4 linked regions of the Rattus norvegicus genome follow. The protein of the gene in region 4 purifies or fractionates together with the protein of the main gene of each other region. This does not show direct contact. Links are inferred from orthologs where the notes say so. Each region holds a gene or a part of one and is shown on either strand. Other genes may lie near its edges.

Region 1 (7,909 bases), on a different chromosome or scaffold from region 4:
TTCTTTCGACAGGGCCTCTGGCGCTGAGGAACAGGCCAGGACTCATCTGAAGAGCTCAGGTCTTCATAGTTTTCTAAAGGTCAGACATGAGAATTAAGACAGTTGGTTCAATAATAACTTCACTTGCCAACACTAAGCACTAAGGTCATGTGTCTGTGTATGCTTTTTGAAAAAATGACTCCCTACATAGGGTCAGGCAGGCCTTGAACTTACAGCAATCCTCCTGCCTTTCTATCCCTGATGCTGGGGTTATGTGTATATGCCACCATACTCAGTTTAATATGTTCTTAAGATTTCATCTTTAGTTGTGTGTGAGTGTGAAAATACAGGTGCCATGGAGCTAGAAAGAAGGCACTTAGATCCCTTGACGCTAGAATTACAGGTGTTTGTGCACATTGCCTTGGGGTGGGTGTGGGGAGGGGTGAGCTGAACTTTCTTCTGTAAAAGATGTACAGGTTCCCTGAGAGAGCAATAGGTAACTGACTCTTAAGTGCTACTGAGCCATCTCTCCAGCCAAACCACCTTAATAATATTGAATTAGAAAAATGTGTTGGGCTGGTGTATGGTAGTTCCCGCCATACCCTTAATTCAAGTATATGGGAGGTAGATCCTGTCTCAAGAAAAGTTTACCAAGACTGGACTCGAAACATTACAACTGGCAGGCCACTGCACTGAAACCTTCATTAATTCTTTTGGTTTTTTCCGTCCTTTTCATGACGGGTTTCTTTAACCCCGACTGTCCTGCAGACTCACTCTGTGGTCTAGGCTAGCCTCAAGCCCATAGTGACTCACCGGCCTCTGCCTCCCAGAGTGCTGGGATTTAAGGCGTGAGCCACCATCTGGCTTAACTTTCTTAACATGGTGAAAGGTACACACACTTTCCCAAGCTAGCCCCAGGCTGGGTTACAGTGTGAAGAAAGGATGTGCACAATGATTAGCGCCATCCTAGAAGCACTGGCAACTGGAGGAAATAAGATACAGAAGCATGCCAAGCAAAGGGTGAGCTCTGTCTGCAGACTGGACAAATGGAGAAGAAACTAACTTGACAAGATCAGTGTGGGAGTCCAGGGTCTCCTGCATGGACACACCAAGAATTGGAGCAAACCCTCAATCAGAAGTTAAAGAAAATAACTGTAGTGAACCCATATACAAAAGCAGAAAGGATGACAAACACTTCAGAATAAACTTAGCTATACACAAAATATATATCAGGAAAAATTTAATCCGTCCTCAACGTCCCAAAAGTATACTAAATATAAAACATGCCCTGTGTTCTTAGATGGACAGGTGACACCATAGAAACAGTGAATTTACACATTTCCTGTAGTCTCCTTGATATGTGCTCATTGTTTTTTTGAGACTGAGTCTGTGTTCCTAACTGGTTTTGAATTTGTATCCTTCTACTTTGCCTCTCAATCCAAAATTCTGAGATTGTAGCTGTACACCATCATATACACCTTTTCAACCCATCTTAATTAATCTTTTTCTTTTTTTAAAGATTTATTTATTTATTCCATGTATTTATTCCACTGTCACTGTCTTTGGACAGATCAGAAGAGGGCATTGGATCCTATTACAGATGGTTGTGAGCCACCATGTAGTTGCTAGGAATTGAACTCAGGTCCTTTGGAAGAGCAGTCAGTGCTCTTAACCACTGAGCCATCTCTCCAGCCCTCAACCATCTTAATTAAAACAACACCTTTTAAGGAGCCAAGTCAATCATGCTGGTCCAACTGTACATGTCAATCATGCTGGCCCAACTGTACATGTCAATCATGCTGGCCCAACTGTACATGTCAATCATGCTGGCCCAACTGTACATGTCCATCATCCTGGCCCAACTGTACATGTCCATCATCCTGGCCCAACTGTACATGTCAGTCATGCTGTCCCAACTGTATCGTTGAGGGCTGTCCTAGTGCTATTTGTATTCTGATGTTAATTCCACTTCCTCAGGGGTTGTCCCCATGACCAGTCGATCATGTACTTGATTTCCTGTGAACCTTCTCCCCATTTTAGCTGGTCGATAAAGGCTAGAGCCTGTGATTGAGCAGTGGAGGGGAAAGGTGGGACAGGAGATCTTTAAGAGTAGGGGCAGGTGGGGGTTGGGGATTTAGCTCAGTGGTAGAGCGCTTGCCTAGGAAGCGCAAGGCCCTGGGTTCAGTCCTCAGCTCCGAAAAAAAGAACCAAAAAAAAAAAAAAAAAAAAAGAGTGGGGGCAGGTGAAGAGAGGAGAATGAGAAGGGAGAGTACTGAAGAGGAGGAAGAAGAGGAGGAAGAGGAAGAGGAGAAGGAGGAAGAAGAGGAGGGAGAGGAGGTGGCCATGATGGAGCAGAACCATGTGGCTCAGAGAACCACAAATAGCAAAGGGTCTCCTGGCTGCAGAATAAGTTAGTATAGTGCTAGATCTGCACAATCTAGGCATGTGGCTGATAATTATAATAGCTGGATTGTGTGGTTTTTACATGGGCTTACTGGGGTTGGAAATTCCAGCAACACTGTGAACAATTGGAAAGGAGAAACAAGTATCACGGATCAGACATGTACACGTAAAAGATGAAAGCGTACAGGCTAGAAGGGTCATGGCCATCACAGCCCTGAGAAACACTGGTGAGGACTCAACATCCAGAGGCAAGAAAGGACACCTGCTCACATAAAGGTAAAAGTTACACAGCACGAGATTGTCAAAGTCAAGAACTAAAAGCCAGAGAGGCCTCTCTGTGAGTGAGGCATATCTCTTCCCCTTCTTCCTTAGGCTCCACAGCCTGTGCTGTGCGTGATATCAGTTGACAGACACTGTTCTCTGTGGGAAAGTCTGCATCTCTCTGGCCCTAGGCCTTGGACCCCAACCTCTGCTCCACAGTGGAACTGGTAAGAAAAGAAGGCCTCAGAGCAGGGCTGGTAGAGCCCAACCTGAGCAAAGGGATGGACTGGGGAGAGGCCCTCCTTGTCTCCTAGTTTCCTTACTGCTCAGGGCTGCCTCAACTCCATCAGGACACAGGCAGATCAGGTACCTGAGCTACGGTAGAGGCTCTTGGGCAGTACAGGTGAGTGAGTTTCCATCAAAGCCACAATCTTCATGTGACCATACTGCTTGGCTAGCATCCGGGCTGTGGCTCCACTGTGGTCTCTTGTGTCCACTTTGACTCCCTAAAAAGGTTCACAAAAGAAGAGTCAGAAATTCTTCCAGCTAAGTGGACTGCTGGTCCAGAGGGATGAGAAAACAAGGACATTTATGGTCAACTCCCCACCCCCTGTTTGAGATAACACTCGGGTGGAGGGGTAGGAGTGAAAAGGTCTGGTGACAACAAGCCCATCACCAAGAGCAGTCACCAAGCCATCTTGCAGCGGCAGCCACTCTCCCTCCTGAATACTGCCTGCCATAAGGCAAGGAGACACAAAAAACCTGGAACCTGCAACAGAGGCCCACCTTCACCCTCTACACCTACTATATCTGTCTCTTAGTAGAGAACCAAACAACCATTCAGCCCACCCCCAGAAAGAAGGCTCCATCCTCCCAAACTGAACTTATGTCTGTTGTCCCTGATTTTCTGAGACAGGATGTAGCCAAGAACAACCTTAACTTCCTGATTCTCCTGCCTCCACCTCCAACTATTGGTGTTTTGTTGAAACAGACAGGGTCTCACTGTGATTCTAGGCAGGCCTTGAGCTCACAATCCTCCTGCTAGAATAACCTAACGAGATTACAGTTTAGGTTTCCTGAGGTGGGAAGATCCTTATTCTGAACCTAATGCAATAGATTTCTCCTCTCAAAGTGTTCACAATACAGTCTAATATCATGGTGGCAGGCTGCCCAGCAAGGTTTTGAGGACAAATGACAAGGAATTTAGAAAATAAAAATTGGCCCAGAGTCTCTTCCAGGAGTTTAACTTGATAATTAAGGACTGACAGCGTAACTCCAAGTAACACTGCGGTTCAGAGGAACTTGCAGTAGGTGTCAGTGGGAGCAAATAAGATACCTCCCACCACTCCCCAGGGAGGAGTGGATGCAGTGCAGGAAGGACACCCAAAACCCGTGGAGAAAACACGCATTATGGGGTGGTGGCTCATGACTATAATCCTAGTACTTATAGTGGAAGCAGGAGTATCAGGAAGTCAAGGCCATTTACCACCTAGATAGTAGGTATGAGACCTGGTTGGGCTACATCTGATGCAAACTCCAGAAAGCAAAACAAAAGTAACAAACAGCAAACAGCAAAAGTAAATCCCAAAGCATGCACGCTGATTCCCCTTTGTGCTTAGGAAGACTCCTGCTGTAGACACTGTGTACAATTCTGTGTGGACACAGTTCTCAGTCCTACTGAGACAAGGGCTGACGCATGCTACAGTAATGCTAGCTGGGCCTAGAGTTACCAGACTGTGTCCTGACAAGCGATGCCACTTGGAAGTCTGCTGAGGTTCATGTTGGACACTGTCACTCATACTCCATCCCTCCCTTCTTGTCATTCTAGTCACACTGCCTGGTTGTCACAGGCCACAGGCCTGTAACTCAGCTACTCAGAAAGCTGAAGCAGAAGGATTAAAAGTTTACAGTCTTCCTGGGCTACACAAGTTCAAAGCCAATTTAGACAACTTACTATGAGCCTGTCTCAAAATAAAACATTTTTAAAAGGGCCGAGGATCTCTCTCAGCAATAGAGAGCTTACACAGCACATGCAAAGACCTGGGCTTAATCTCCAGCACCAGGAATAGAGTTAATGTGTTTTCAAAATCATTGTAAATACATAAATGTGGGTGTCTATTTTTACTCAGCACTGTATGTTTCAGTGAAAATGTACTGCCTACAAAGTAGCAAGATAGCTCAGTAGGTAAAACCACCTGCCATCAATCCTACGGTCTGAGTTCACGTCCCAGAAAACAGACTCCTACAGTCCTCTATTCCACATGTATACACGTGCATATATACAATATGCTAACTACACATGTAAAAGAAACCCCAGTTAGAGTTTATAGTTTCCCATTTGCTGTGAGTAAATTATAAGGTAGTAAATAGGTACTTACATGATTCAGAAAATACTGCACAATTATCTCATGGCCAGCGGCAGCTGCTTCCATCAAAGGAGTGAATCCATATACAGGTTCCCTGCAAGATGAAATCAGATAGATGGTTAGCAGAGAGAAGTTAGGCAATGAACAAAACAAGCCAAGATCCTTACATGCAAAGTAGGGGTGCAGGCTCAGGCCTAGGCTCTCGTGCTGTTACAACTGCTGGGGTATTGATCTTTGCCTTTCTACCTTGCTGGAGTCATGGTTTCTTGGTTGCTGGGTATCCCAGGCTAGCTGGCCTGTTAGCTTCTGGAGATTCAGTCTCTGCCCTCCTACTTCCTGTTGTGTGCTTGGCTTACAGACTACCCACATGACTGCATCCTACAGTTACAGTTGTCAGGCTTGCACAGCACTTCTGCCCACTAAGCCACCTCCCTAGTCTCCTTCATGACTTTCATGACATGAAGCTACTGTGGTCTGGTGCATGTTATGTAATGATCCCCCTTCACAGCAAGTACCAACTGAGCGCCACCTTAAGCTGGCACGGCAAATTCTGGCTCTTGGTACCCATGCTGGGAGACACGATATAATTCTGAATGACTCTAAAATAGAAATAAAATGCTACTAATTAAAATTCAACTTGTCTAATGATTCTAAGCTATATTCTAACTTGAGAGATGTTGAAAACTGTTTCTTACAATGGTTGAGAGACAGGTTTAGCATGACTCCTGGCTTCTATTTCAGCAGAGAATGAGGAACAGTGAAGGGGCTGTTTGAGAACACAGATGGGCTTAACAGAAACAGTTCATGGGCTGCTGAACCCAATAGATAAGACTTGGACAGTTGGGAAGAGACATCACCATCTGTGAGAAGTGAAGAGCAGTAGCTGCTTTAACACCAGCCTGTTCAGTTAGTATGTTTTAACACCAGCCTGTTCAGTTAGTATGTTTTAACACGAGCTTGTTCAGTTAGTATGTTTTAACATCTGCTTGTTCAGTTAGTATGTTTTAACATCTGCTTGTTCAGTTAGTATGTTTTAACATCTGCTTGTTCAGTTAGTATGTTTTAACATCTGCTTGTTCAGTTAGTATGTTTTTTGAGACAGGGTCTCTTCAGGTAGCATTGGCTGTCCATTGGCTGGAGCTCGCTGTGTAAACCAGGCTGGCCAGAAATCCTCCTCTGCCTTTTGGGTGCTGGGATTAAGGGTGTGCTCCACTATGCCTAGCAGAAGATGCTTTTTGAGCATGATTAAAGTGGGGATTTAGAATGAAGTGGGAATGGCTTTGAGGAAGGGAAGATGGACTATTAATGAAGCAGAGGAGTTACTAAATCTCATGTGGTCTTCGTGACTATTCCACCTCATCTCCTTGGTGTCCTTGTGTAGTGAGGGTGAGCGCGGGATGGGTGGGTGTGCACAGTGCAGAAGCTGGAAGTGGTGCTGTTTCTTGACAACCACCTACCTTTTTTTTTTTTTTTTATTGAGATGCTCTCTTACTACGACTTAGGGTTCACCAACTGGACTAGTGGACTGGGCTGGCATCTGCCTATTCTTCCTACTAGCCTTGTGGTTATAAGCATACACAACCACGGCAACATTTTTTCCTGTCCCTGGGGATCAAGCTGATGCCTGTGCAACAAACACCTTACCAACTGAACTGCCACCCCCCAGCCCAATCTCAACATCCCAGCAGTTCTAAGTGCACGAGAGCCTGGGCCTGAGCCTGCACACATGCTCTGCATGTAGGAATCTTGGCTTGGTTTGTTCATTGCCTAGCTCCTCTCTGCTAACCACCCATCTGATCTCAGAAACCCAGCCCACTCCTATGACCACGTGGCTGCAACAATCACCTCACGTTGGCATTGGCTCCACTCTCCAGAAGAAACTTGACCATCTGCTGGTGGCCGGCACTGGTGCAGTGAAAGAGTGCAGTCCAGCCCTGGATGTCTTTCATCTCAAGCTCTGCACCTTGCTTCAAAAGAATAGAATGTGGGTTATGCCCCAAGTCTCCAAAATATATAATCTGGGTGGGTGCCTGGGAAGCATCCACTGGACCTTCAGCTGACCTATGCGTATATGCACACTGTGGCCTGCAGCATCTCATATCCTGTCAGGGCAACCAGGGAGCACCTGGGGTTTTGGGCCCACTCACAGCTCACCTGGAGCAGGAAGTAGGCGATGCTCTCGTTACCACAGCTGGAGGCCAGCATCAGTGGAGTCTGTCCTTCTGGGGTTGGCACATTCACACTCACACCTGCCTCGAGCAGCAAGTGAACAATGGTATCGTGTCCAATGTAGGAGGCATACATCAGCGGAGTCCAGCCACCACCATTCTTCTTATTCAAATCTAACTCTCTCCTAAATAACACAAGTTATGCTAGATATAACCAGCATCTCACATGTGGCTTCGTCAGAGCCAGGTGCTAGGCCTGGTAGGACAAGCTGCCCTTCCAGAAGGCAGGAGTCACTTGCCTCGAGTCATCCCCAGGTAAGTGTTTCCACCCTGCTTCAGAGTCTTGTGATGGTTAATCGTGAGTGTCAACTTGACAGGGTCTGGAATCAACTAAAAGACATACCTTTGCACAGGTCTGAGGAATTTTCTAGACTGGGTAAAATGATGTGGGAAGCATTCCATGGGCTGTGGTTACAGACTAATAAGTAAATTTTAAAAAAGAAACAAACAAACAACAAACAGAAAGAAAAGGGGAAAAAAGTAAAAGTGACTGATATAACCCTTTTATTTTAATGCTCTCACCTGTCCAGTACCTCCTGGACAAGGCCAATAATCTTTTTTGTACCTACAGCAATACCAACCATGATCAAGCAGGGGAGTTAGGTAAGGTCTTGCCATTTCTCCCCAGTTATATTATCTAGGAAGTAGCCAGCTGTTGGCACATAGTAGATT
Region 2 (7,909 bases), on a different chromosome or scaffold from region 4:
TGAATGTTACAGCCTGGGTGCTGGAGTGCCTCACACAGCACCCTCATGCCTGGATCCCCTAGAGTATTGTCACTGAGGTCCAGTTCAGTGAGGCTCTGGTTGGTGCTGAGACTTGAGAAGAGACCTCGGCAGAAGCTAGAGGTGAGGCAGCAGTTCACCAGTCTAGAATGGCAAGGGAGGAGGCCAGAAGAGAACATTATTTCCCAATAACAACAAACCAGAGCTCAGGACAGGGGTCCTGGCACCTAACTGTCTCCTAAGTGTTAAGCCACCAGTCACAGATCCACTGTTCTTTCCAGAGGAGAGAAGCAACAATAGTCATTTCCAGGGAGTCCCATTGGAATACCCCGTAGCAGTTATTATAATGCAGAGAGCCTTCAGGACTGGACGTAGCTCAGGGGTAGAGGCTTGACTATCTGAGGCCCTGGATTTGGCCCCTAACACTACATAACAACAGCGCATGTTTGTCAATGCCCTTAATCCTAGTACTCAGAACACAGAGGCTAGAAGATAAAGAGTTCAAGGTCATTCTCAGTTACAGAATTGAGTTCAAGTTCAAGGCTAGCCTGGACTACATGAAACCCTAGCTTTAAAAAAAAGAGCAGTTTCTTTGTATAGATGCAGGTCTGGGTTTTTGACTCTGGACCTCTGATGGGGGATATGCGCTTAGCTTGTCCTCTTGGAAGGTTCTGTGATAAACCTCTATGGTGTGAGGGAAATGGCCGTTGCCTGAAGTAAGAGCTCTCTTCTCGATGGCTGTAGCAGAGTCCCTGCCCTTCCTCATCAGAGTGCAGTCCTTATCAGGCCTTTCATCCTCTCTCCACCTTGTATTAGGCCCTGAAGTAGCAAGTCTGCCTTCCCTTACCTCCTCTCTCTTCCCCTCTCCCACTGGCACAGTCTGCATGTTCACCCTACCCTTAAAAAAACAGATAGACACCCTCGTCTCAGAAGGACGGGATCAGGAGGAGGATGCTTGACCATGCTGGCAGGGCCTCGTAGAGAATCTTAGCATCTTGTGCAAGGGAGACCTGTGGAGCTGCTTTTCTTCCTTCTGCCAGGTAAATCCAGCCTGTGGGACCCTGTCTTTACACCTCCCATCCTCCACAACTGTAATACATATGCCTTTCAAATCAAAAATAACCTAGTCCAGGGCATCCATATAGCAGCGTGGGTTGAGGAACAGCCAGTGTGCTAGATGTAAGCTAAAGTACAAGCAGTGGGTGTCTACAGACATAGCCACGCGATGCCACAACGTGCCCCATACTGTGCGCCGAAGCCATATTCTCCCCAGATGCTTATTTCTTAGTTTATTGGGTTTTGTTTTCATCCCATTCATCTACCTAGCGTAAGCCGCTCTCAGCAAAAGGGTGGCAGTCACGTTATCACGAAGCTCGCCAATTATATTTGTAAAATAATTGGAAATAGAGGAGAGGAAAGAAGGAAGGAAGGACTGATGGACGGACCAAGAAAAGTAGCCAGAAAGCAAAAGTTACAGCTACTATCTGCCTGAAGCCAAATTTCCTTACCTGGAAGAACAGGCAACATGAGGGTCTGGGAAAACACACTGGACCTGGTCCAAGGGTTGACTTCCTCTTTTCTCTTCTTCTTCCTCCTTGGGTGAGTTGTGGAGAAATCCCAGGGAAAGTGTTTTTACCCTATGGCAATTCTTAATGCAAAAGGAAGAAACCACGTGGTCCATTCTGGTAGAGAGGTTGATCTCAATTTTGGGGAAGTGGCCCATGGCGCTCTGCACAAAGTCTTCCTCCTGCATCTCGTACAAGCAGTAGAACAGTTCCAGCTGGCTGGGCTGCCTCTGCAGCTTCTTGGCCTTGGCTTTCACTTCGATCCACTTCAGCAGCTCCAGTCTGACTTGCTGAGAGATCTTGCAACTTAGCTTCTTCTCCAAATAAGAAGTTCTCTCCTGGTTTACAAGGCCAAAGAGGAAGCGTACAACAAAAATCAGATAGCCTTTTTCGAACTTGCCGTAATTTTCTAATAGGACCTTCACGTCTCGGTTCAGAAGGTCTGAACAGCCTTCTGGTCCCTTCCTCACGGTCACCCCCTCTTCCTCCTCTTCTAGCAGATAGTACATAGCCGCAAAGAACTCCTGGAAAGTCATGTGGCTGAAGCTGTAAAATCTCTCGCAGTCCACCTCCTTCTGGAACACGTTCATTCTCAGGAAAGCAGAGACGTCGGTCTTCTGCAGGCCGTGTTTCCGCAGATCACACTCTTCAAATAGGATCTTCTGGTTCCAAATTCCATCCGCAGCCAATGAACAGAGCCCTGGCAGGTAGGCAGAGAAGAGGTGCTCCTCAATGCCCCCCCGGGACTGCAGCAGGCTGGAAAGGAAAAAGACATAGACGGCAGTCGTGGTCTTGGAGGTCTGGGCCAAGCTCTTTCCAGTCTCCATCTGCTGCTTTAGCCCTGTGCACACAATCCAGCAGACCAGGGGGATGAAGCACATAGTAAACAGGATCTCATTCTCTTGGATCAGCCTGAAGGCCTCCCTGGCCTGCAGCTCGTTTGAGAAATACTTAAAGAAATACTCCTTCCGTTTGGCCTCAGAGAAACCTAGGATCTCCACGTGGCGGGGGTGGTCCAGGAGATGCTGCAGCTTCTCCAAGGCTACTGGCCTCGTCGTAATAAGCAGAGAGGCCTTAGGCAGCAACTTCTTTCGGATGAGGCTGCTTAGCAGAATGTCTCCCCTCACAGCCTTCTGCCAGTCTGTGCAGACCTCCTCGATGTGCTCATCAAAGGCCCCCTGCAGCTCATCAAAGCCGTCCATGAGGAAGAGGATCCTGGAAGGCTTGCACAGGATCTTGCAGACTGGTGGGTTTGGGTCAGGCCAGCAGCTGATAATGAGATCTGCTAGGCTCTTTGGTGCCCTGAGGCTCACCTCTCGACAGTGGATAAAGAACAAATAATCAAATTTGTCTTTGAAGAGCTTCCCCAAGGCCCAGTCCAACATAATCTTCCTGGCTAGGATTGTTTTTCCGATGCCTGCTGCTCCCTGGAACACCACTGTGTGCACGGGCTCCAAGTGTTCATCCTCAGGCTCAAAGAGCAGCTCCAGCTTAAGGGAGCTCATGGGCCTGTCCCACATCTTAGTCCTGCCAATGGTCAAGAGTTCATGCTCCCTTTCCTGCTTGCTTGGATGCTCCTTGACCAGTTGGAGCTGGGTGTAGCGTCTGTTGAGGTCCACGCTCTCACCTAGACGTGCATTCCTGTCTTTGATGGAGTAGAACCTGCTTCTCACATGCCTTCTGTATATCTTACAGTAATCTGCAGCAGAGACAGAAAGGCAGAATCCAGGAAGAGCCCACACATCTATTCCCCAACAATAAGCGGTCAGCAGGCCTGTGCTGTTACAGGAGGAACATTAAGAATTATGATTGGGGCTGGGGATTTAGCTCAGTGGTAGAGCGCTTACCTAGGAAGCGCTTACCTGGGTTCGGTCCCCAGCTCCGAAAAAAAGAACCAAAAAAAAAAAAAAAGAATTATGAGGATTCGAGAACAATGACAAAATGCAGAGTGCTGACTGCCAACTAGATAGAGAGCAACGTGCTCGCCAAACGTTCAACTGTACACAGCGAGGTGTAGTCCTTGATGCAGCGGTGGTGCAACTGTTATGGCAACAGCCAACCATTCTGTGATTGGTTTGAAGCCTATGTGCTTGCAGTCCATAAGCCCCGGTGGCAATGTGCTCTCCAGGGATCTCTCATTATATCTATTACTGTTTTCTGAATTTGTACAGAGGCATGGCCACGTGCCTAGAAGGAAAGCCAGTGGCTTATGCTCTAGAGAAAGGAAGGACTGGCTTAGAAAAATAGGTGGTTCAGATGGACGGGGCCTTAGTTTGTTAAAGGCTAGGCTCACAACCAAAAATACAAGAAAAATAGGAGGTGTAATTTGTCCCTATTGCTCAAGTGTTATCAGGTCCCCAAAATTCTGGTGTCAATCACTTCCCACTCACGATAGGGCAGAAAGTCAGCACTGCAGCCTCCAGCCAGAAAATGTTATTCAAGCCTTTATACCTTTAGTCTGAAGCCCATATCTGCTTGCAGTAAACCCTTTCCCCAGGACTTTAGGAAGGAAGGCATGAAAATGTGCATCTGCTTCTTCAGTGAAGGTGGAGTTCCTGAGGCAGGCCTCCTTCCCTGTAGAGTGGCCAAGTGTCTCTGCTTTCTAGTTCCTTAGTCCCCTGTCCCAAGTCTCAAAACAAAGTTGAGAACAGCAGGTTGATGCATACCTTTCTTTTTTTTACAAATCGAGATGCGGGAGAGATATCCCAGCAAACCTATCCACTCCTCTTCAAGGCTGTCTTCCTGGCACACCATGGAGAGATTAGACGTGCATGCATCATCTAAACAACAACAACAACAACAAAAAAAAAACAAACACAAAGTTGTAGGATGTCATACAGGTGAAGGCAGGTACAGGATAGAACGAGGCCTGTCATTGGATGAGAAGGAAGGATGGGCGGGAGAAAAGATTTAGAGAGAGGAGGAGACTGGAGGAGTCAGGAGAAGCAGCGGAGAGAACATGGAGGCAGATGTTGAGATTCCTCTCTGCACATTTACAGGTTGTTATGAATATTCTTAAGGGATGGATGTGTACAGGGCTTTGTATGTTTAGGTGGGCAATTATACCTTATCAATTGGATCAGAGGTTATTGTGTTGTGTGTTCTTTCTTGTGGTGATTTAAGTTTAAGAGAGTATGTGGTGGCCAAAGACACTAGGCTGCCACGGAATTGGGATGTATATTTCTGGCATGGTGGCAACCTGCTTTGAAAACTAGATGGGTAGAGAGATTGCTGCCAGGCTCAGAGAGTAGCCATCAGCAGTGTGATATGGGATGGAGCAGAGCGGGTAAGACGCTTTGCTGACTGAGATGAAGATGTCTACCAAATATCTTGGGGCACTGAGGTGCTGGATCTAGTGTGGAGTAAAAGAAAGCTTTTTTACAATTTTACAGGAACACAAAATACATAAAATGTCCTAACACAAAGGATAGAATGGAGTCTAGTCTTTGGGGTAGGTCAAAGGCCCCCCTACTCCCTATTCCTTCTGAATTAAATGTGGCTTAGCCAGGCATGAGAACAGATCCCTCTAAGCTCAGCACTTGGGAGATGGAGGCAGGAAAATCAGTACCTCAGAGTCATCCTCAGCTACGCAATGAGTTCAAAGCCAGCCTGGGCTACATGAGGTCACATCTCAAAGAGGAAAAAAAAAGAAAAAAAGGTAGGGGGATAGGGGAGTAAGCATGGCTCAAGAGCTGCAGATCTTGATAGCTATGGCATTGAAAGCCTAGTAGGCATGATTCTGCTCACCTCGCTTTCTTTTTTTTTTTTTTTTTTTTTTTTTGTTCTTTTTTTTGGAGCTGGGGACCGAACCCAGGGCCTTGCGCTTCCTAGGCAAGGGCTCTACCACTGAGCTAAATCCCCAACCCCGCTCACCTCGCTTTCAAAGGGAAGCTGTCAATCATTAGACAGAACTGCGTCCCCAAGCTCAGAATGTCTTTCCCAGGCCCAGAAATCCGTTAGAGAACAGATGAGATCAAACGGTGTTTCCTTTGCCGTTGTCACCTGTCCCTGGCTGTCTCTGGCACCTTAACTTAGGGTCTATGTGCAAGAGTCACAATGCTCTCCTGACAGGTTCACCCTCCCCTGAGCTCAGCTGGACGTATGAAACCCATGAGGGTCATTTCCTGTGCTGTCCTGTCTAGATTTCCAGGTCTTCACAAGTGAACACTGTCAGTCAGTTAAGTAGTTCAGAACCATGGCTTACTGAACTCACATGGAGAGGTCTGAAAATGCTGGGTAATACCCTACTCAAAGGAGTTCTTTCTACTCTGTGCTGAGGCTTAGGCATTATTACCCATGGAAAAGGCCAAGGTGATGCCAATGGGAACCTACAGCCAAGAGCTATGAATCCCAATGGTATAGACTTTCCTCCTAGGGGAAATTTAGGAATATAACAAAAGTTCCCACACAAAGCACACAAAGCAGATCAAAGACACGGACATACTCCTGTGGATGTAGAATTATTCTGGAAGATAATGTCAGGGATGTAGAATATCTTCCTAGCATGCATATAAGCCAGGTGGGGTGTTAGTACACATACTTAGCACCCAGGAAGTGAAGGCAGGAGGATCAGGAGTTCAAGGTCATCCTCAGCCACTCAGTGAGCTTGAGGCCAGCCTGGGATATGTGAGATCTAAAGAAGGATGGACAAAAGAGGAGGAAGAAGAGAGGGGAGGGGAGGGGAGAGGAGGGGAGGGGAGGGGATGGGAGAAGAGGGGAGGGGAGAGGAGAGGAGAGGAGAGGAGAGGAGAGGAGAGGAGAGGAGAGGAGAGGAGAGAGCACCACTGGTAATGGAATCACAAAACAAAAATCTAAACACTCATGCAACCCCAAACCTCTGCCCAATTCTCCCATAATATCTCACTTCAACCCCCAAAAGAACATCAAATATTGATGACAATTTTTATGCCTAAAATCTAGATATAAAAGCCAACATCACATGGCTATACTTTTATAGTCTCGCCTGGCCTTTTGCTCTTACTCTGGCTGGCCCTGACGGGAGAGCCTTGGGTAATTAGAACCACGCCCTGTCTCTCGTCCTTCACCTGAAAGCACCAACAGTACTAGGAACTATGTCATGGGGTTATTGAAAGAAAAACAAAACCCACTGAAGCCACCTTGTACAGGGCTCCTGGAGCGGTGGCTCAGTGATTAAGAGCACTTGTTGCTCTTCCAGAGGACCTGGATTCAGTTCCCAGCACCCACATGGTGGCTCCAGTTCCAGGGAATACGATACCCTCTTCTAGCCTCTTCAGTTGCCAATACATGGTGCACACATAGACATGCAGGAGAACGCTCCTACATATAAAGTAAAATTTGTGTTGCTTTCTGGGTTTTGCTTTTTGGATTTTCTTTGAGACCTGATCTCTTTATTACATAGTCCTGATTGTCCTGGAACTTGCTCTGTAGACCAGGCTGGCCTCGAACTTGAATAAATCCACCTGCTTCTGCCTCTCAAGTACTGGAAATAAAGGCCTGTACTACTACATCCAGTCCAAAATAAATCTTACAAAAAACAAACAAACAAAACCAACTACCTAGTATAGAGCCAGAAAGAGCCAGTTCAGGGAGTAACAGCTTAATCCCCAAGACCTACACGGTAAAAAGAACCAAACCCTACAAATTGTCCTCTGACCTCCACATGTGCACACACATTAGCACACACATACAAGCACACAAAATAAATAGCTGAAAGGTTTAACGTTTTAATTTGAAAAAGATCTAAAATTGCTCAGTCAGGGCTTCTATTGCTGAGATTAACTCTTCATTCCTCTTGTACCCATTCTCGGTACAGGAACAATGACAGGCAATTGGATTGCCTCATAGCTCCATCTCTTTCTCCTGGGTCACCATTGCCTTGCCACACACCTCCTCAACTCCAACTGGCCCAGTGCTGTAGGGATGGACCCCAGGTCTCTGTACATAACAAGGAGGCATTCTACTACTGAATAACACCACCCCAGGCATCCTTATCTCCTGTGATTACTTCCTTCCGCCCTGCTCCTACTCGGCAGAGGATGCCTGGGACTTCTCAGGTTATTCTGAATCCTTTCTGCTGTTTCCCTGGTTTAGAGCAGACAAGCATCTGCTCTGAGCCAGTTGGGGAAGGAGAGTGTGATACCAACCACAACAGGCCCCCAGGAGTAAAGCAAAGACCGGAGCTTTTACAGAATTAGAAAAAGCACACTGCTCCCTCCCACCCTCTCATACCTCACCAGGGGAGAAGGAAAACCGATGATAATAAATTAACATTTCAAACATGCTAACTTCTGTATAGTAAAGGACATCATCTCCCAGCAGTTAGAAGGCAGAGGAAGGAGGATTGA
Region 3 (7,909 bases), on a different chromosome or scaffold from region 4:
GCCTTCCAGATGCCTGCCTACCAGCAGAACAGCCTACACTCAAATCCCACTTGTGTGCTTATGTCCAGGGAAGGAAGAGATGTGTGCCCTCGGTTGGCACGACGCTGCCAGGTCACTGTGGGGGAGGGACAGGCGTGGATTTGGGACCCCTGGGGACTCACCCTCATCGGTGATGGTGCCACTGCTAGAGCCCCCACTGCTCTTAGATTGCCGGTGGGACGAGGAGGAAGACACTGAGGACTCCGCAGTGTGGCCTTTGGGAGAGGGGGAAGGCGTGAGGGTGGGAGAGGTGCTTTTAGAGGTAGCAGAAGTTCCAGAGGGAGGCCGTTTGCCAGGGTCCAGTTTCTGCACAGGGCATTAAAAAAAAAAGAAAATAGAAGCCATCAGTCAGTAGGACAGGGGATGAGGATGGATGCTGTATGTTGGGACATGGCGGTGCCCAGTCAACGGCACACCTAGCCAGGACTGTGATGCTGTATCACAGACTTAGACGCAGGGCAGCACGGACTGGTGGCCAGGAAGCCTGGGCTCACACTTAAACAACACTGCGCCTCCCATCTCTCCACAGAATTGAGCTTCTGGGATTTACCAGTGTTCCAGTTTTCAACCTACAGATTCTACACGTTTTACTAAATTTAAACACACTTCATTTTCATATAGTCTTACGTAAATGATATTTATAAAATGTCAAATTAAAAATTGTAATTGTTGGGGCTGGAGAGATGGCTCGGTGGTTAGGAGCACTGGCTGCTCTTCCAGAGGATCCAGGTTCAGTTCCCAGCACCCACATGGCAGCTCAGAACCATCACTAACCCTGGCGTCCCAATATTCTCTTCTGCCTTCTGGGCACCTATAAACACACGTGGTACAGATACAGATGCATGCAAAATGCTCACACACACAAAATAAAGCTAACTTTAAAAAAGTTCTAATTGTCTACTATTGGTATAAAGAAATGCAACTGACCTCATATATTGACCTTGTGTTCTCTGAGTGACAGCCCAGCCCAGAGTCTCTTATGCTGACCTTGCTAAAGTAGTTTATTAGCCATGAGTATCTGTAGAGATTCCGTTTGGTTTCCTATACGGACAGACATGCTGTCTAAGGGCAGAGCTAGGTTCCTTCCTTGGTGACACTGACTGCAGTCTCTAGCGCAGGCTGTGAGCTGTAAGCCCCTCTGTATTCCGGCATCCTGCTTCCCCATCAGGGAGTGCTTGGTCTTTGGCAACAGTGGTCCCGCTATACTTATTTCTCACCTAATTCGGGAAATCCCCTCCATAGCTGCTCTGTGTGCACCACAAACGTGCGAGGTGTCCTAGAAGGTCAGAAGAGGGCATCAGATCACCTGGGGCTGGAGTTACAGATGGCTCTGAGTCACCATGTGGGTGCTGACCTGGGTCCTCTGGGAGGACAGCCAGTGTTTTTAACCACTGAGCCATCTTTCCAGCCCCTGGATTCTGAATGTTAGACGCTTTTCCTGCATTTATTCGTTCATCTTTTATATGGTATGCCAAAGTCACTGATTTTTCTAATGCTGACTCTAACTCGCATAAGGAGCCCCTCAGTTGGAAGGGGTGTCCTTTTCACCCACCACTGGACTTGACTTGTGTGGAAGATTCCAGAGTTTAAGAGGATTATTGGGGCTACATTCTTTCTTGCAGTATCATAAAAATCCACCTTGCTCCCAATCTTAGGGGATAGAGAAACCCTATAGTGTAATACAGGGTCATTAAAACACATTAACCACCAAGCATACTACAGAACAGCTTTAATGTCAGCACTGGGGAGGCAGAGGCAGAGGCAGAAGGATCTCTGAGTTTGAGGCCAGCCTTGTCTACATAATGAGTTCCTGTCTCAAACCAACCAACCAAACCGTTTCAGTCCCAAGGGTGTATAGAACTTTAAGTGGGGAAGGAAGTGACAGACCTGAAGAGAGAACTTACCTGACTCTGTTACAGATGCTGTCACACCTCTAAGTGACTGATGAGAGTCAGCCAATCAGGATATGGAACACATGGACCAGCCCCCACCCCTATCCCCCACAACAGTCCCCAGAGTGACATTCACATAGCCCCTTTCCCAGAGGCAGCAAGAGGACAGATGCTTTTCTTAAGTGGCTATGGGATACTCACCAAGACAGGTCACACTCTAGGGCATAAAACAGACCCTGAAACACCTACAGGGGGGGAAACAGACCTACATACAGCAGAGCTGAGCTATGCCTCAGTAATAGGAAGACTCGGGAAAAGTCTCAAATGACTGAAAATTTAAAACAAAACCAGCCAACAGTGGGTCAGGAAAGAGGCTCAGATTCAGCTGCTGATGAAGGTTCGCAGCTAAGCACACGTGAGCTATAGCTCTGGGATGGAGAGAGAGGCTGAACCCTCCTTCAGAGATGAGGAGGTAGGTCCTCGCTCCCACTCACCCTTCCTGCCTTCCCATGATTGGGGTACAAGCCAGACTGGCCTCATGCATACCCCACCACAGCAGTGAGCTTCCTGCTTTAAAACAGAGGACAAAATCCAAATCTAGGAGGCTCCCGTTTTGAAAACTAATTTCTATTCTTCCTGAGGGAGCCATTGAAAAGCACTTCATGTCTTCTTACTAAGAGAGTCTGCGACGGAACGCCCATTTCAGTGTCCTCTGATTGGGGCAGTGGTTTCCAAGAGTTGCAGCTGAACCGGACTCTCTCGGGGGCAGGAACTGATTCCTTAGAACCTACCCTGAGAGTCAGGGGCAGCAGGAAGGTGTGGAGAGTTATCACTAGACCAAGCATCAGGAGACCTCGGAACTAGATCGTTCTCCACCGACTGTCTCTAGGACCTATCTTTTGGCACCTAACTTCTTTCACCAGGATATATTTGTATGTTGTTAAAGTTACCACGTGCAGCCCAGGGTGGTAACAGTTAACAGCTTACATGCCTGTCTCCAACATCAGTGACAGAAAGCTAAATGGTATTTAACGCAGTTAATGAAACCATCAGAATAGAACAGAACATTTTAGACAACAAAGGAGAAAACTATTTCAAAGCCCTCAGCTAGTAGACTCATTTTAATGAGTAGCTGGGAGTGGCCATATAGAAAATGTGAAAAGAGAAATACACTAATTATATAACTTTATATATCTTATAAAGAAAATGCATCAAGATCTCGGAGGAGTCTATAGCTGAACTCTAAAATAAACTTAATTATACAGGTCCCTCACATAAATAATTCTGAACATAACAGAAATAAACTCATGTGTTGGGGAGAAACTTCTGGAACTAAATTATAAAAGGAACTTAAATTATGAGGTTTCTCTGTGCAAGAGAGTTGGGGTAAGAAAGTTGTGGGGCCAGCAGAGGCTGTGCAGAAACGAACCATTTCTCACACATCTGCTAAGACAGACTCAGACCTGGGGGTGGGGGGGTGGGTTGCTCAGTGAGCTGCGGTTTAATCCAGCAGGCTGTCCCATCCCGTGTTAACCCTCTGCTCTCTACAGAGGACAGAACGGACACACGCAAGTGTGCACCTGAGCCCGTTCCAGTGCCTCCACCCCCACCTCCCACCCCTGACCCTGGAGAAGAGGTGGGTGAACATGGGACAACAGGGGCAGAGTCAGACCTGTGCAGGAAGTTAGGCGTGGCCATGACTGCAATGCCTGTGAGGTTACTCCCAACCCGACACCCCAGCGCTGCATGTGGGCCATGGGAGAACATTGTACAGGTGCCGCAGGCATCCTGAGAACAAGCACCTTGCTGCTGGAAGTAACATTGGAAGAGCCACTACCACTGCCCAGGAGGGAGGCTGGCAGCTCAGGTGGGCTGGAGCCGGTCGCTGGCCCCACAGGACTGGACTGCTGGCAGGGGGGCTTCTGCTCACACAGGCCAGCCGCTTTTTTCCTCTGAGCAGCGATCTGGGAGAGGACACTGTCTACGCTGCCACCTGAGGAGACAAGAGACAGGAGTGAGCATTGTGGCAAGTCCTTCCTGCCTCGTGGGGGACTGTGAGCTGTCTCAAGGTTCAGGCTTGTAAGAGTTCTACACAGGGCCCCAAAGGAGCTGCAGGAGGGCTGAGCGCCACAGTGAGAAGCAGGGTGACAAGAGCTGGCTTGTCTTCACTCCTTCAGGCCCAGCATGTGTAACTCCCTAATGCCATAGAACCTATGAGCACTGAGCTCTAGGCTTCTAACTGCACCCTAACTGCCATTTTCCCTCTCAGCTTCTCTGAGTATACTGTAACCTGGAGAGGGGTTGACTGACACATGGACACATACACATGCATGAGCAGACACACACACACGCACACACGCACACACGCACACCCTTACCCCCTGGGGCTGAGCCACTGGCAGGAGGTATTCATGGAACAGATGTACCTGCCAGCGCTCCACAGGGAACCGGAAGGTGGGATGTACTGACCGGCCGGATGTGGCGATGCAGAGAGTACTGGGAGGACTGAGGCAGAAGAACTGCAAGTTCAAGGCCTGCCTGAACAGCTTAGTGATAGCCGACCACGATAAAAATCGAAAAGTGAATGAGGGGTATAACACAACAGTAGCAAGCTTGTTAGGAACAAGCTAGCCAACAGCACTAACTTCTTTCAGAGGTGGGGGCCTGTTCTATTTTTTTCTTGTTTTATTTGTTTTTGTTTTGTTTTTCAAAACAGTGTTTCTCTCTGTAGCCCTGGCTGTCCTAGAACTTGCTCTGTAGATCAGGGTGGCCTAGGACGCAGAGATCTCCCTGCCCCTGCCCCTGCCCCTGCCCCTGCCCCTGCCCCTGCCCCTGCCCCCCCGTGTTGGACAGTGCTCCACCACCATCACTTCTGCCCGGCAACATTCATGTTTTTTAAAAGGCAAACAGCTGACTAAGCCTTGGAGCTCAGGCTACAGAGCTCACTGAGCAAACCTGAAGATATCTCCTGGGGGCAGCAAGATGACAAACCAAATGGTCCAAGCAATAAGAGGAGAACCAACTCCTACAAATGGTCCTCTGACCTCCACACTCAGGGCAAGTTACACATGCACCCACACAAATACTCATACATGAAATAAATTAGAAAACAGGTTTGTTTGTTTGTTTGTTTAAATTTTGGGAGACATTATTTGCATGAGCAAGAATATAGGACAGTCGTGGACAGAGCTCACTAAGAAGTGGCCACTCCAAGGGAGCTCTGAGAGTACTTAAAACCCTCCTGCCCTCACTCCATCCCCACTCCATCCCACCCTGCACAGCAGGGCTCTGAGCTGTATGAGCTCGGGGGAGTCGCTGGAGCCCAGCTCCCTCCCCTGGAGCATGCTGACAAGACAACAATGTAAAGGGATTATTCTGGGACCATTGAAATGGCTCAGCCTTGGGCCTGGCAGAGTGTTCAACAAATCATTCTGACTGTATAAATATTCATAATATGCACAAAATAAAACACTGTGCAAAGTCACAGCAAGATGTTAGTGATGAGTGAGCCCTCATGGGTGAGCTTATGCCCCCCCCCCCGCCCCTTTTGTCTTTTGGCTCATCTGGTCTTCACGTTTTCCTCCCAGACGCATGGACGCATGGACGTCTTCTGCAGTAGCTGCCATGGGTGGGGGCCCTCTCAAAGAGCCGTCTTTGTTTAGTCCTGGAGATCTTTGGGAGGACTTGTGAGTATGCCGTAGCCTAGAACCATGGGGCCCCCTGCTTTGACATTTCCTTGCCTCCAGCTTGCTGGGTAAGTCTGGGCCCATCTCTTGCCCAGTTGGAGCTTCAGAATCCTACTCTGTTCAACCAACGACAGAAGAGAAATTTCCCCAGGCTTAGCCTTCAATCAGTTTGTACATCATGAAAACCCTTGGCATTTTTCTCCATTTCTTATAACATTTTATAAGAAATAAGAAAAGCATTAGGGGCTTGACTTCTTCCTTCTCCCTCTAGCCTCATCTCGGGAAAATGAGCAAAGGCAACCCTGAATTGGTAGTTCATTAAAAAATCCCCAGCGGCACCAAGAAGGGGATGGCGTACAGCCATACAGCAGCCTCTGGTGTTGCATGTAGGCGGAGCAGGGGACAGGAGGGGACTGGCCAGGGACTCTCCCATTTTCTGGAGCGGCCTGTGACTGCTTACCTGAGCGGTTATGCAGCTCTCCCCCCAGCCTGCTCATGCTGCCCACGCCACTGGCACCCCCTGAAGAATGAGGCGAGTGGTTAAAGTTCCCGGAGCTGGCAGGGGACGTGGGGCTCCTGGAGATGCTGGGGAATTTGACTGGCCTGCCAGCAGCCTGTGAGTACAAGGTGAACCAGACAGTTAGGACAGGGCCTTTCTTCCTCACCACACAGCACAGTGGCGCAGGCGTGCCCGTCTCACTGACCCCCAGGGTCCCGTGGCAAAGAGCTTTTAATCCTATCTGCTAACAACCCATTAGCTCAGCCTGGGCCAGGGAGCACCACCCCGACACTGGCTGCTTGACTTCCATCTCTAAACCAGAGTGCCCTCCAGGAAGTGCTAAGGAAACCCCTTACGGAAAGCTGGGAAAGCCACAGTGTACCTCAGACAAGGCATGCAAGCTCACTCTAGCCACTGACTGTTGATCCACTGACTGACTCCTGCCGTCCTCTGCACTGTCCTCAGTCCTGGCCTGAGCACACTGGAAGCACTCAGAAGGAAGAAAGGCCACAACCGGCTGGATGGTGGCCTCAGACGGCAGGTGAGTGTCCTCAACCTATGAATACTGTCAAGGGCCACCACTCAGAGATACTTAGCAATGGTGTGCCTGTGCTAAGAACTTAAGGGGACAGAATCATAGAGCTGGAGAGACGGCTCAGAGGTTAGACACATTTGCTGCTCCTTCAGAGGACCCAGGTTTGGTTCCCGACACCCACATGGCGGCTCACGGTGGTCTGCAATTTTGGTTCCAGAGGATCTGATGTTCTTTTCTGGCCTGTGCAAACACTGTACACATGTGCAGGTAAAACACTCATAAACATACTAAAAATAAAATCTTCTAAAAAGAAAGAAAGGAGGGAGGGAGGGAGGGAGGGAGGAAGAGAGGGAAGAACAGAACAAGAACTTGCTTGGGTCACCTAGATGCTCCCTGAGTACACTCTCAGGCCTCCTTGGGACACAGGCAATTCTGACAAGAGAGACTGAAGAGCTGCAGCTACAACCCAGGGTGTGCCAAGAAGAGTCCACAGAAGTGTTATGTCCTTGGGAGAGATCCTCCTGCCTCTCCCATGAGCCTCTGCGGGACACAGCCCTACCCTCACATGCTTCAGCATACTTAGCACTGTAGAAAATATTCAGCCTGAGGTGAGCAGAGCAGTGAGGCCTCACCCCATCTCCCTCCTTCTTGGTGGCCTTCCCGGCTCCCAGAGCACACATTCGTCTCCTGGGTGCTCTGTGCCTGCTGTTCTATGCTCCACTAAGGAAGGGGTCAATGAGTATTTTCCGAGAGAATGGGACATGAGCACTGACATCCAGGCCCTTGGCATTAGTGACATTTTCTAGGAAAGGTAGCCATAGAAGGCATTGAGGGACGTCCTGCCTATCTGACTGTCCCACCTCACTTCACTTACCCAAGGTACCAGGATCCCATCTCTACCAGGACCTGAGAGTGCCCAGCCCTAGGATCAGTCCTGCCACACAGACGCAGTGGAAGTCCAGGTGTCTGCTGTCACTCAGCCACCAAAGCAGCAAGACCTGTCCTAAATCCTCATCTACAACCTACCCACTTACTCAACCACACTGAGGGCAGTCCACACACCCAAAGACACACACAAAGCTGGCAGCTCAGGGACCAGCCTGTCCTAAATCCTCATCTACAACCTACCCACTTACTCAACCACACTGAGGGCAGTCTACACACCCAAGGACACACACCAAGCTGGCAGCTCAGGGACCAGCCTGTCCTAAATCCTCATCTACAACCTACCCACTTACTCAACCACACTGAGGACAGT
Region 4 (8,522 bases):
CACTCACAAAGACTTCTCATTTACAATTCAAAGCAAGCTGATGAGAGTCGGAAAAACCATAGTCTGACAAACTCCACACAGGTGATTTTAAAGCAGAAGAAGGAGGAAACACACAGAGGGCGTTGAGCACCGTCTTCTCCACATCAAGGTAAACAAAGCAAAAGAGAATACCTGTGCAGGGGGCTCAGGTAAAGATGTTCCCTGTAGCTGAAGGCCACTGGCCACAAGCTCTAAAATGCCCAGTTTCCACCTGGCCTCCCAGAGGACTTACCAAGTCGAAATTCCTACAACCAAGATCCACTCCCGGCCGGGGCGAACAAGTTCTGCTGTGTGATTTGCAAAGGTGTTTCATTTTCCACTGCATTCCCTGCTTCTCCAGAGTTGCACCTCAGCCAGCCCAAAATTCATTCTTAAACTAGGAGGCCCTACTTCTCCCTATGGCCACACGCTCCTTGACAACAGGCCCCTTTCTAGTTATTTATTATTTTCCCTTTTCACTAGACAGACTAAGTCCACTCCCCCCCCCCTTTTTTTAAGGAGTTGGAGGTGGTGTTCGGTTGTAGGCGTGCTTGTCGTTTGAGATATTACACAGACCAAGCTGCACTGGCACTCCCATTGCTCCAACTCAGCAACTCAGCTTACCCTGTCTAGGATTACAGACGCATGAGAATGTACTTTCATTCTCCTCCGTTCATTCTTCTTTAAAAAGTTAATAACAATTTTTAAAAAGGCTCATCAAATCACACATGCCGAAAAGCCCCTCTAACGGTAACAGTCATAGGGACAGTAGCTAAAATGAGCACTCACGAATGAAGCCTGTCAGAACTCACCCATATGAGGACTATCACTGACTAAAGAGCACAAAAGAGCGGATAAATGGCTGGCATCACCTCTTACCTGAGTTTCCCAAGGAGGAAACAGGACACAGCACTCACTCACACACTGCTTCTATGTCACAGGATGAGTCTGGGGTCCCCAGAGGCCAAGGCTGTCTAAAGCTCTGCAAAGACAACTCCCATCCCCTCTCGAAGCTATTCTGAGTATTAGCCCCCTGCACCTCTGTCTCTTCTTGCAGATTATTTTCTCTAGTAAATCTTCTCTACGTCTGTTCTGGTCTAATGAGTACTTTTTTATCCCCTTACCCTTCACAGCAGGATAACCAACCTAAGTGGCTCACGTGGTTATGAACACCAATAAGCAAAATCAGGTAATGCTCAGTGGACGTTAGACACACGTTCTAAGAATAAAAACTTTCACAGCGCACTGTTGCTGGAAACCCCAATGGCTTAAAACTCGTGCGTAGGCCTTTGATGTTATCTTCTATATAAATAAAGTTTTATTGGAGCACAGCTACATGCACATATATGGGGAGTGTTTGTGGCTATAAAAGCAGGAGCTCCCAGAGACAATACAGCCCAGGAAGTCAAAAATACTTATTATGACTTATTAATACTTATTATATTGTTTAGGGCTAGTGAACCCATCTGTACATAAGCAGCCTGGAGTTCAAAAGTAGCTCTTAACTACTGTCCACTCAGGAGCTGTGGTAGGTAACATGCAAAAGGGACGACTTCCACTGAGTCATATAAAACGGACATCTGTACACTTTTATAAACCAGTAAGTTTTCCTCATGTGTACACTGCGGCTAGCTATTAACCCCAGTAAAGCTCATCTTATTTGGTCATTATATACACATTAGGACAAAGTGTTTTTTTTTTTAATAAAGGTTAAAAAATCATTTATCCTGATCAAAAATGGGAAAAGATGTTCCTTAGCATCTGCCCTCATTCCCAATCCTCACCATAAAACCATGAACGATAACGGAGGCTGTTTTCTTTAAAAGGAAGAAAATACTTTGAGAAATAGGTAACACCATAGGGACACCAAACTGTCAGTTGGAAACAAATCAGCAGTTTAAAAGTTTTGCAGCTATGTAAGTTATATAAGTTTCGAAATTCTCAGCCAAAGACAGTAACTCATGCCTATAATCTCAGCCTTTGGGAAGCTGAGGCAGGAGGAGAGCATGAGTTCAAAGCCAACCTGAGCTATACACAAAGTAAGTTCCGGGCCAGCAGAGTAAAACCCTACGCCAAGAAAAAAATTTAAGTGTAAATTATAAAATTATATTCCACAAACACATATGCTTGGGTATAATCATATATCCAATGTTATATCGGCTATACTCTCCATGAATAAATAAATTGTAGGAGGAAGAATTAAAATGGAACAACTTCAAAAGTTTAAAGTAATGGTTCTTAGAAAAAGGTTACAATATTTGTAGAATTGCATATAAAGCAATTCGGAGTAAATAATAACCACCCAGGTCATATAGTTCTAAACTATAAATTTCCCACACCTTCAGAACTACCCGTAAGTTTGCTACTGTACTACGGTTTAGATTGTGAAGTAAAATATCTGCCCACACACTAATCAAGTATTTGAAAAAAAAAAAAAAGGTGAAAATGAGAATAGCTACCCTAAAAATTCTTATAATAACAGAATCACTGTTAATCACAGAATAAGTAAAATCACTGGGATTTTACTTTATTCTATTTTTAGTAAATGCATAATACTTAATGTTTGTAGTAAGTCAAGGCTGAGGGGCATCAACTGCAATCATCAGAAGTCTGGAATTGAGAGGGGAGTCCTGGCAATACTTATCTTTACAGAGTGTAAGTGCTGTACACTTCGGTTTATTTGAAACTGAGATGCTGGGTTTTAATTTAGTAAAGAAAGGCTTGTCAGCGGCCTCTGCTCCCCTCCTCTGCTAGTGCAGCCATCATAAACAGGGGTGATTTTCTTCGGTTTTATTAGGCTGGAAAGAAACTTAAGTGTCCACCGAAGAAGGCGTTTGTGGGAAAGGAATGGCGGGAGACAGGTATTAACCAGATAAATAAACTTTAGTAGTTCAGATTACAAAATAGGTCTGAAAAAAATGCAGTCTTGACTCTTTAAACTGATAACTGCCTTAACCGTATTAAAACTGCCACGCTGCCATAAAAGTGTCTAATGAATTTTCTTCTGATAGTTCTTGGTTTTCAGTTTCAGATGATCTCGGGCAAAAGCCCCAGTCAGTCACGGACTATATTTAATTTGCTGACCAGGTTTGTTTCTTATGTACAATGGTTTCAGTGGAAACTGTGACTCCAAGCTGAGCCCGAATCCTGAAAGTTAACAAGGGGCGCAAAGAAAACCAGAGGCCCCCTCTCCTCTGTTTTTTATACAAGACTGAGCCTCTCAACCCTTCTTTCCATAGGCCCACATCCTCAAAGAAACTTGGCCTCCCTCTCCTAGTCCAGGGCAGCAGTAGGAAGTACCCGCCCTCCTGAGCTAGGGCCGGGTGTCCTCGCTGTTCATTGGCTGCAGTGGCTGTCAGTGCCCTGAAGGCGGGGACGCCCACCTTGCAGTGGAATCTGAGGACTGCATGGTCACTGGGTCCAGATTCCCCTCCATTCCGGCCCCGAACTCTTCTCCGAAGGCCCTCCTCTCATATCCACTTTTCTGCCTCTCTAAGAAGTAAAGTTTTCCCCCCACCAGCCAAAACAGAGGATGCAACGGTTTGGGATGTAAAGCAAATTATGGACCGGATCTCTCGGAGTGATGGCAGAGTGCTGTGAAAATGAAATAACTGCTTAGGTTGCAAGCCAGTTCAACCAAGTGCACTGGCCATCACGAAATACTGCAGCCATGAATACAAGCAAGAAATGCCACACAGCACTGCAGGCTGTATTTTTTTTTTATTCATCATTTTCAGAGTTTGTCCGGTTGTCCCAAACTACAAATTTTTGAGTGTGGGTACTAAGTCTTTCTTGGATCACAACATCCCATCATCTAGAAGAGAACAGGTTTATAATATGCATATTCGGAACGTTATCCTGAAAGGCAGCCTACCAAAGCACACCGCCGTGAAAGGCTGTAGACAACGTGTCTACTGGGAACTGCAGATTTCTTGGAGGAGAAACTAAAGAGTGGTCCTAATAATACTCTGTTAGCTGCGGACATCTGGTTGTTTTTTATTACAACCTTTAAGATTAGTAGTCTCAAAGAAAGAGGGGGAAAGTCATTTCATCTCTAGATTGTTTTACTATATTCAGTTCCATCACCAGAATCGTAAAGGGCACAAACACATCTTACTCTAAAGTAAATACATTCTTAGTGTCTAGCCCGGGCAGAGACTTAGGCTATTCGAGTACAGTATGTGTGTCAATAAATGCATCTCTTGAGGGTCTCCGCCCCAGGCGGAGGCAGCCGACATTGCTCAGCAGCATCCCCCCATGGCCTCTCTAACGTCACCTTCGTCCCATCTGTGACTCAGCTCAGCTCATACTTTGCTGCATCCTAGCCCTGAATCGGTCTCAATCAGTCCTCGACCTGACTACCCGACCACTCACAGTCTGTGAACTTCACTTTTCTAAACTGGGCGGCAGCTTAATCGGTTGAGCCAATCCGCGATCGGTAAATAGCCAAGGTGACCAATGAGCTCTGCCCGGAGGCGGGTCTTCACTGGAGTTCCTCCTGTCCGAGCCCGGAGACCTGTTGCCGCCGCTACCGCAGAGCTGGAGCTTCCCGGGGGTCGAAGCGCCCGGGGTCTGAGCTCCCGCAGCCAGCGGCCTGCACCGCGCTCCACCAGTTGTAGGCGGCCTGGCGGATCCTCAGAGGCACGCGAGTCCGAGGCCCCACGCGGCCCGCCCGCTCCCCGCACCGGCCCCACCCGGCCGGGCCGTGCATACTCACCAGGGCGCCCGGGCAGCTCGATCCACGCGGGCTGCAGGGCTGCGCGATCCCGGGCCGATCGCCTCTGCCCGCGCCACTGCAAGCGCCGGCTCCCACCCTGATCGGCCGGCGCTTCCCACTGCGAGCCTAGCAGCGGCCCATCCTCCCGGCTGTGCTCCTCCTCCGGCTGCCGCGGCTGTCAGGAGGGTAAACATCCCGGCATCCCCGAGGAGAGGGCGGGCCGCCGCAGGCCCCTCCCCGCGCCCGCACCCTGCTCGGGAGCCCACGCTGCCACTTTCCTGAGAACTGGGGTGTGCCTCCCTTTCTGCGGTTGGCCCCTGCCTTCAAATCGGCGTATTTTGATCCCACTCTCTTTTACCAAGTGGTTTCAGCTACCTCTACACTGTGTCAGTGAAAGCAAACGAGAGTCTTCCCGGAATCTGGCTAAACAAATCTAGACTTTAGTGTCCCAGCATTAGGAATGCCTTTCAGGACGCTTCCGAAAGTTGAACTAGGTGGTACTAGGTATGCAGGATCTTTGAGATACAGGCACACTTACAAAGTGGCATTACAAAAATTATTACATTACATAAATTAATTTACACGTCACATATTTGCAATATGGTTCTCTCCTTAGTACATGGAGCTGTTGAAAAGCAAAGCTTTGATTCCTACTGTTCCACTAACCAGATTTGAACTACTGGGGCAGCCAGCTAGGAGGCAGTATAGAGTCTGTCATGCCTATATTCTAATCATTCAGTGGCAGTTGTTTAACTTATGGTCTTTCTCGGAAGAACAGCTTTAACGCCTCCTTAGAAACAGCCGGTGAGATACAGCGGCACGCTTGAGCACATATTCTAATCATTCGGTATCACTAGGTCTTTCTCTGGTTTCATTTTCCTGCCAAGGGTAGTAGTAGAGCCAAAAAACAAAACAAAACAAAACAAACAAACAAACAAAAAACGGTATTATAGCTCAAATGTGTTCAAACAATGGAAAGTAGGATTTAGAAAGTTAGGGCCAGGAGTTTGATTCTCAGGACCCACGTGATAGAAGAGAACTGAGTCCCCACGAGTTGTTTTCTGACATCCATACTGCAGCGTGGCGCACATACGAATGCAAGTATGTAAAATAGAATTAGGAAAAAACGCAAACTTTAATTTTAGAAAGAAAATTAAATTTCAAGAGGTAGCGTTGGTTCAAGAGCTTAAGCTGTACAGGTTTGCCAGGCGAGTTCTTAGATTGGGAGGAGAGGGTCTATATCTATTTCATAGAGAAATAAAGCTGGGGTGTGAATGTTCCTTTAAGTATGTTTATCAGGGGAAAATCACTTGGAATTTGAGCAGAGACCTGAAGAAGTGAGAAAAGGTGGCATGCGACTCAGGAAGTAGAAGGTTTTACACGGGAAATGCAAAGGTACCCTGTGTGGACGTGGGTTCGCCATGTTGGAGAAACAGCCAGGAGGTCAATGCAGATAGAATCCAAACCAACGAACAAGGGGGAGAAGATGATGAAATGGGGGATGGGCTACCAGAAAAGGGACAGGTGTAGAAATTTGAACTCTTATATTTTATTCTGAATAAAGTGGAAATTCATTACAGGAGTAAGTTGAAAGAAAAACAGAACTGTGGAGAATGAACTGTAGGATAACACAACTAGAAGTTAAAAAAAAGAGACAATTCATGGTCTCTGTGAAACATTCCGATCAGGCTTAGACCAGAATGCTAGCAATACCAGACAGTAGCAAAACCAGACAGACTTCAGATACATGTCCATGACAGAGCCAAAGGGGTTTGTGGAGGATTGAATGTGGTATATGAGATGAAGATAGGATAAAGCCAATAAGTTGGCATTTGAACTATATTGTATGGTCACATCACGCCAAAGCAGCCATAGGAACAATGTCACTTGAGTTGCCATGCATAGGCATAGCATACAGAAAAACTCAAAGACATTTACAAGGTAAAGTTCAACCTAGGACCAGATGCATGGCTCAGAGCTTGTTCTTACTCTGTTTGATACTGCCATTTTGGAAAAATGTGGATTGACAGGTGGCCCAGTTTAAGCACGCTACCAATTTATCTACATACAAAGTAGTCCAACGAGAAGCGAACACTATACCTAATGAACACTGAGGGTCAAATTGGGCAAAAGTTCACTCCCACATCCTTAGTGGCTGCAAAGCCTTTATCTAGGAAGAATCCTTTTGGTGTTATATGATGCCCTAACTATGAAACTAATGTAATGTGTCCTTTTTTTTTTTTTTTTTTTTTTTTTTTTTTACTTGTAAAGGCTTCATGGCTACAGACAAATAGTATACAGTGTTGCAAAGACTGGGTAGAGGGTCAAAACAGAAGACACTGTACTTTTTCTTTCTAAATTTATATCACCTTCCTTGTGGGTAGGCAAGGTTATTCCCAGGTGCCAGAAGCCAGCCTTCTGGCCTGGAGCAAATGCTAATGGGAAAACAGAGAAGCCTGCCCGAGAAGACTCCTCTGGCTCAGGACACTCACAAGCACCTTTAACTGCTTTTCCGTTCATCTCTCCTCTGAGCTTTCTCCCCAAATGCTGCTTGAGCTTCATGCTCTGCATTAATTATATGCCTTTGTAGGAATAACTCAGTATTTATACATAATTACCACACAGCACATATATTACATATCAGATCGACTCAGTTATAAATGGTATCTGGATATATATCATACTTAAAACCTCTCAGTTCATAACCAAATCTTTAAGGGTTTTTTTTTCCATATATATCTGCTGGCCCCATGTAAGAAAAAAATTATCAGCAGTATTTATTCTCAAAACCATCTCTCCATAAACTAACCCGAAACAGATGTTGCATACCAGTTCTGGCATAAATGTAATTTCTCCATAAGGAAAGAAACTTATGAGGGGAAAAAAATGTTTCCCCGAAGAAGAATGATGAAGTAATATTAAAAATAATTCTCCTTTGAGAGAGAACCTGGCCAGTGGGGTAGACCAGAAAGGTCTGGTCTTCTTGACTCAAACATAGTACTGGTAACAGCTGTACTTAAAAAGCTACTAGTGAGACTGGCAGCCTCTAAGCTTGGCAGCTGAATGGTGATGAGGCTTAGTCAAGCTGTTGAAATGTCTGGACTAAACTGGGCCAAGAGGAGGAAGTCAGAGTACAGACTGCAGACAGCCCAAGGGAGATCACTTTTCTCTGGCCTTGGCTTGCCATCCCTGTACAGTGTCAGGGAGTAACTATGATGCTTTGAAAGCACCCATGAAAATTATTAGCAAGTTCCTTTTCCACATCTAATGGCTCCTTGAAATCGTTAGTGGATTATTAGCAGATGCGCTTCTGTTAAAAAAAAAAAACAGCTAAATCCATCTTAATTTTATCCCCCCACTAAATCCCTAGAATTCAGAATTGCAGAGACACAATGCTACTGTTTCCCAATTATTGAGTTATGATAGCTAGGGGATATAGTTCATGGTTAAAAATAGGGACATACTGACCGTGGCTTTTCCATGGCTATTTTTGCAGTAGTTGTGAAACAGAAGAGATGTTTTGAGACATATCTTAAATAGAAGACACTGAGATATACTTGTGCAAAACAGGAAGCAATCAGTCCAAACAGCTGTTTGTATTTATATCATGATTTCTTTTTTCTTTTTTTCTCTCTTTCTTTCTTTCTTTTTTTTTACAATTTCTTTGCTCATTGGAATTCAACCGAACTTGTTTCTTTGCTCTGACAAACGTCAAAGGACCAGTATGCAAAAAGAACAATGCAGGGAATATATTAAGAAGTTCCACCCTCTCCTGTGGAGCCAAACT

What was found.
Region 1: the proteins of Nek7 (region 4) and Anks3 purify together in Homo sapiens (affinity purification with mass spectrometry; 3 studies listed by BioGRID and IntAct, with this or other methods). This does not show direct contact. The link is inferred for Rattus norvegicus from reciprocal best matches to the Homo sapiens genes NEK7 and ANKS3.
Region 2: the proteins of Nek7 (region 4) and Nlrp3 purify together in Homo sapiens (affinity purification with western blotting; 9 studies listed by BioGRID and IntAct, with this or other methods). This does not show direct contact. The link is inferred for Rattus norvegicus from reciprocal best matches to the Homo sapiens genes NEK7 and NLRP3.
Region 3: the proteins of Nek7 (region 4) and Anks6 purify together in Homo sapiens (affinity purification with mass spectrometry; 3 studies listed by BioGRID and IntAct, with this or other methods). This does not show direct contact. The link is inferred for Rattus norvegicus from reciprocal best matches to the Homo sapiens genes NEK7 and ANKS6.

Annotation. Positions count from the first base shown.
Region 1 is NC_086028.1:11,126,534-11,134,442, reverse strand, and holds part of Anks3 (ankyrin repeat and SAM domain-containing protein 3), read right to left. Parts: intron 7,656-7,909; exon of another isoform or gene 7,640-7,655; coding exon of another isoform or gene 7,581-7,639; intron 7,363-7,580; coding exon 7,164-7,362; intron 6,977-7,163; coding exon 6,855-6,976; intron 6,851-6,854; exon of another isoform or gene 5,179-6,850; coding exon of another isoform or gene 5,177-5,178; intron 5,104-5,176; coding exon 5,022-5,103; intron 3,150-5,021; coding exon 3,014-3,149; intron 74-3,013; coding exon 1-73. UniProt on the Homo sapiens protein: May be involved in vasopressin signaling in the kidney.
Region 2 is NC_086028.1:44,829,346-44,837,254, reverse strand, and holds part of Nlrp3 (NACHT, LRR and PYD domains-containing protein 3), read right to left. Parts: intron 4,364-7,909; coding exon 4,250-4,363; intron 3,283-4,249; coding exon 1,527-3,282; intron 163-1,526; coding exon 1-162. UniProt on the Homo sapiens protein: Sensor component of the NLRP3 inflammasome, which mediates inflammasome activation in response to defects in membrane integrity, leading to secretion of inflammatory cytokines IL1B and IL18 and pyroptosis.
Region 3 is NC_086023.1:66,115,924-66,123,832, forward strand, and holds part of Anks6 (ankyrin repeat and SAM domain-containing protein 6), read right to left. Parts: intron 6,232-7,909; coding exon 6,078-6,231; intron 3,925-6,077; coding exon 3,734-3,924; intron 346-3,733; coding exon 162-345; intron 1-161.
Region 4 is NC_086031.1:52,695,936-52,704,457, forward strand, and holds the start of Nek7 (serine/threonine-protein kinase Nek7), read right to left. Parts: upstream 4,889-8,522; 5' UTR 4,736-4,888; intron 1-4,735. UniProt on the Homo sapiens protein: Protein kinase which plays an important role in mitotic cell cycle progression. Required for microtubule nucleation activity of the centrosome, robust mitotic spindle formation and cytokinesis.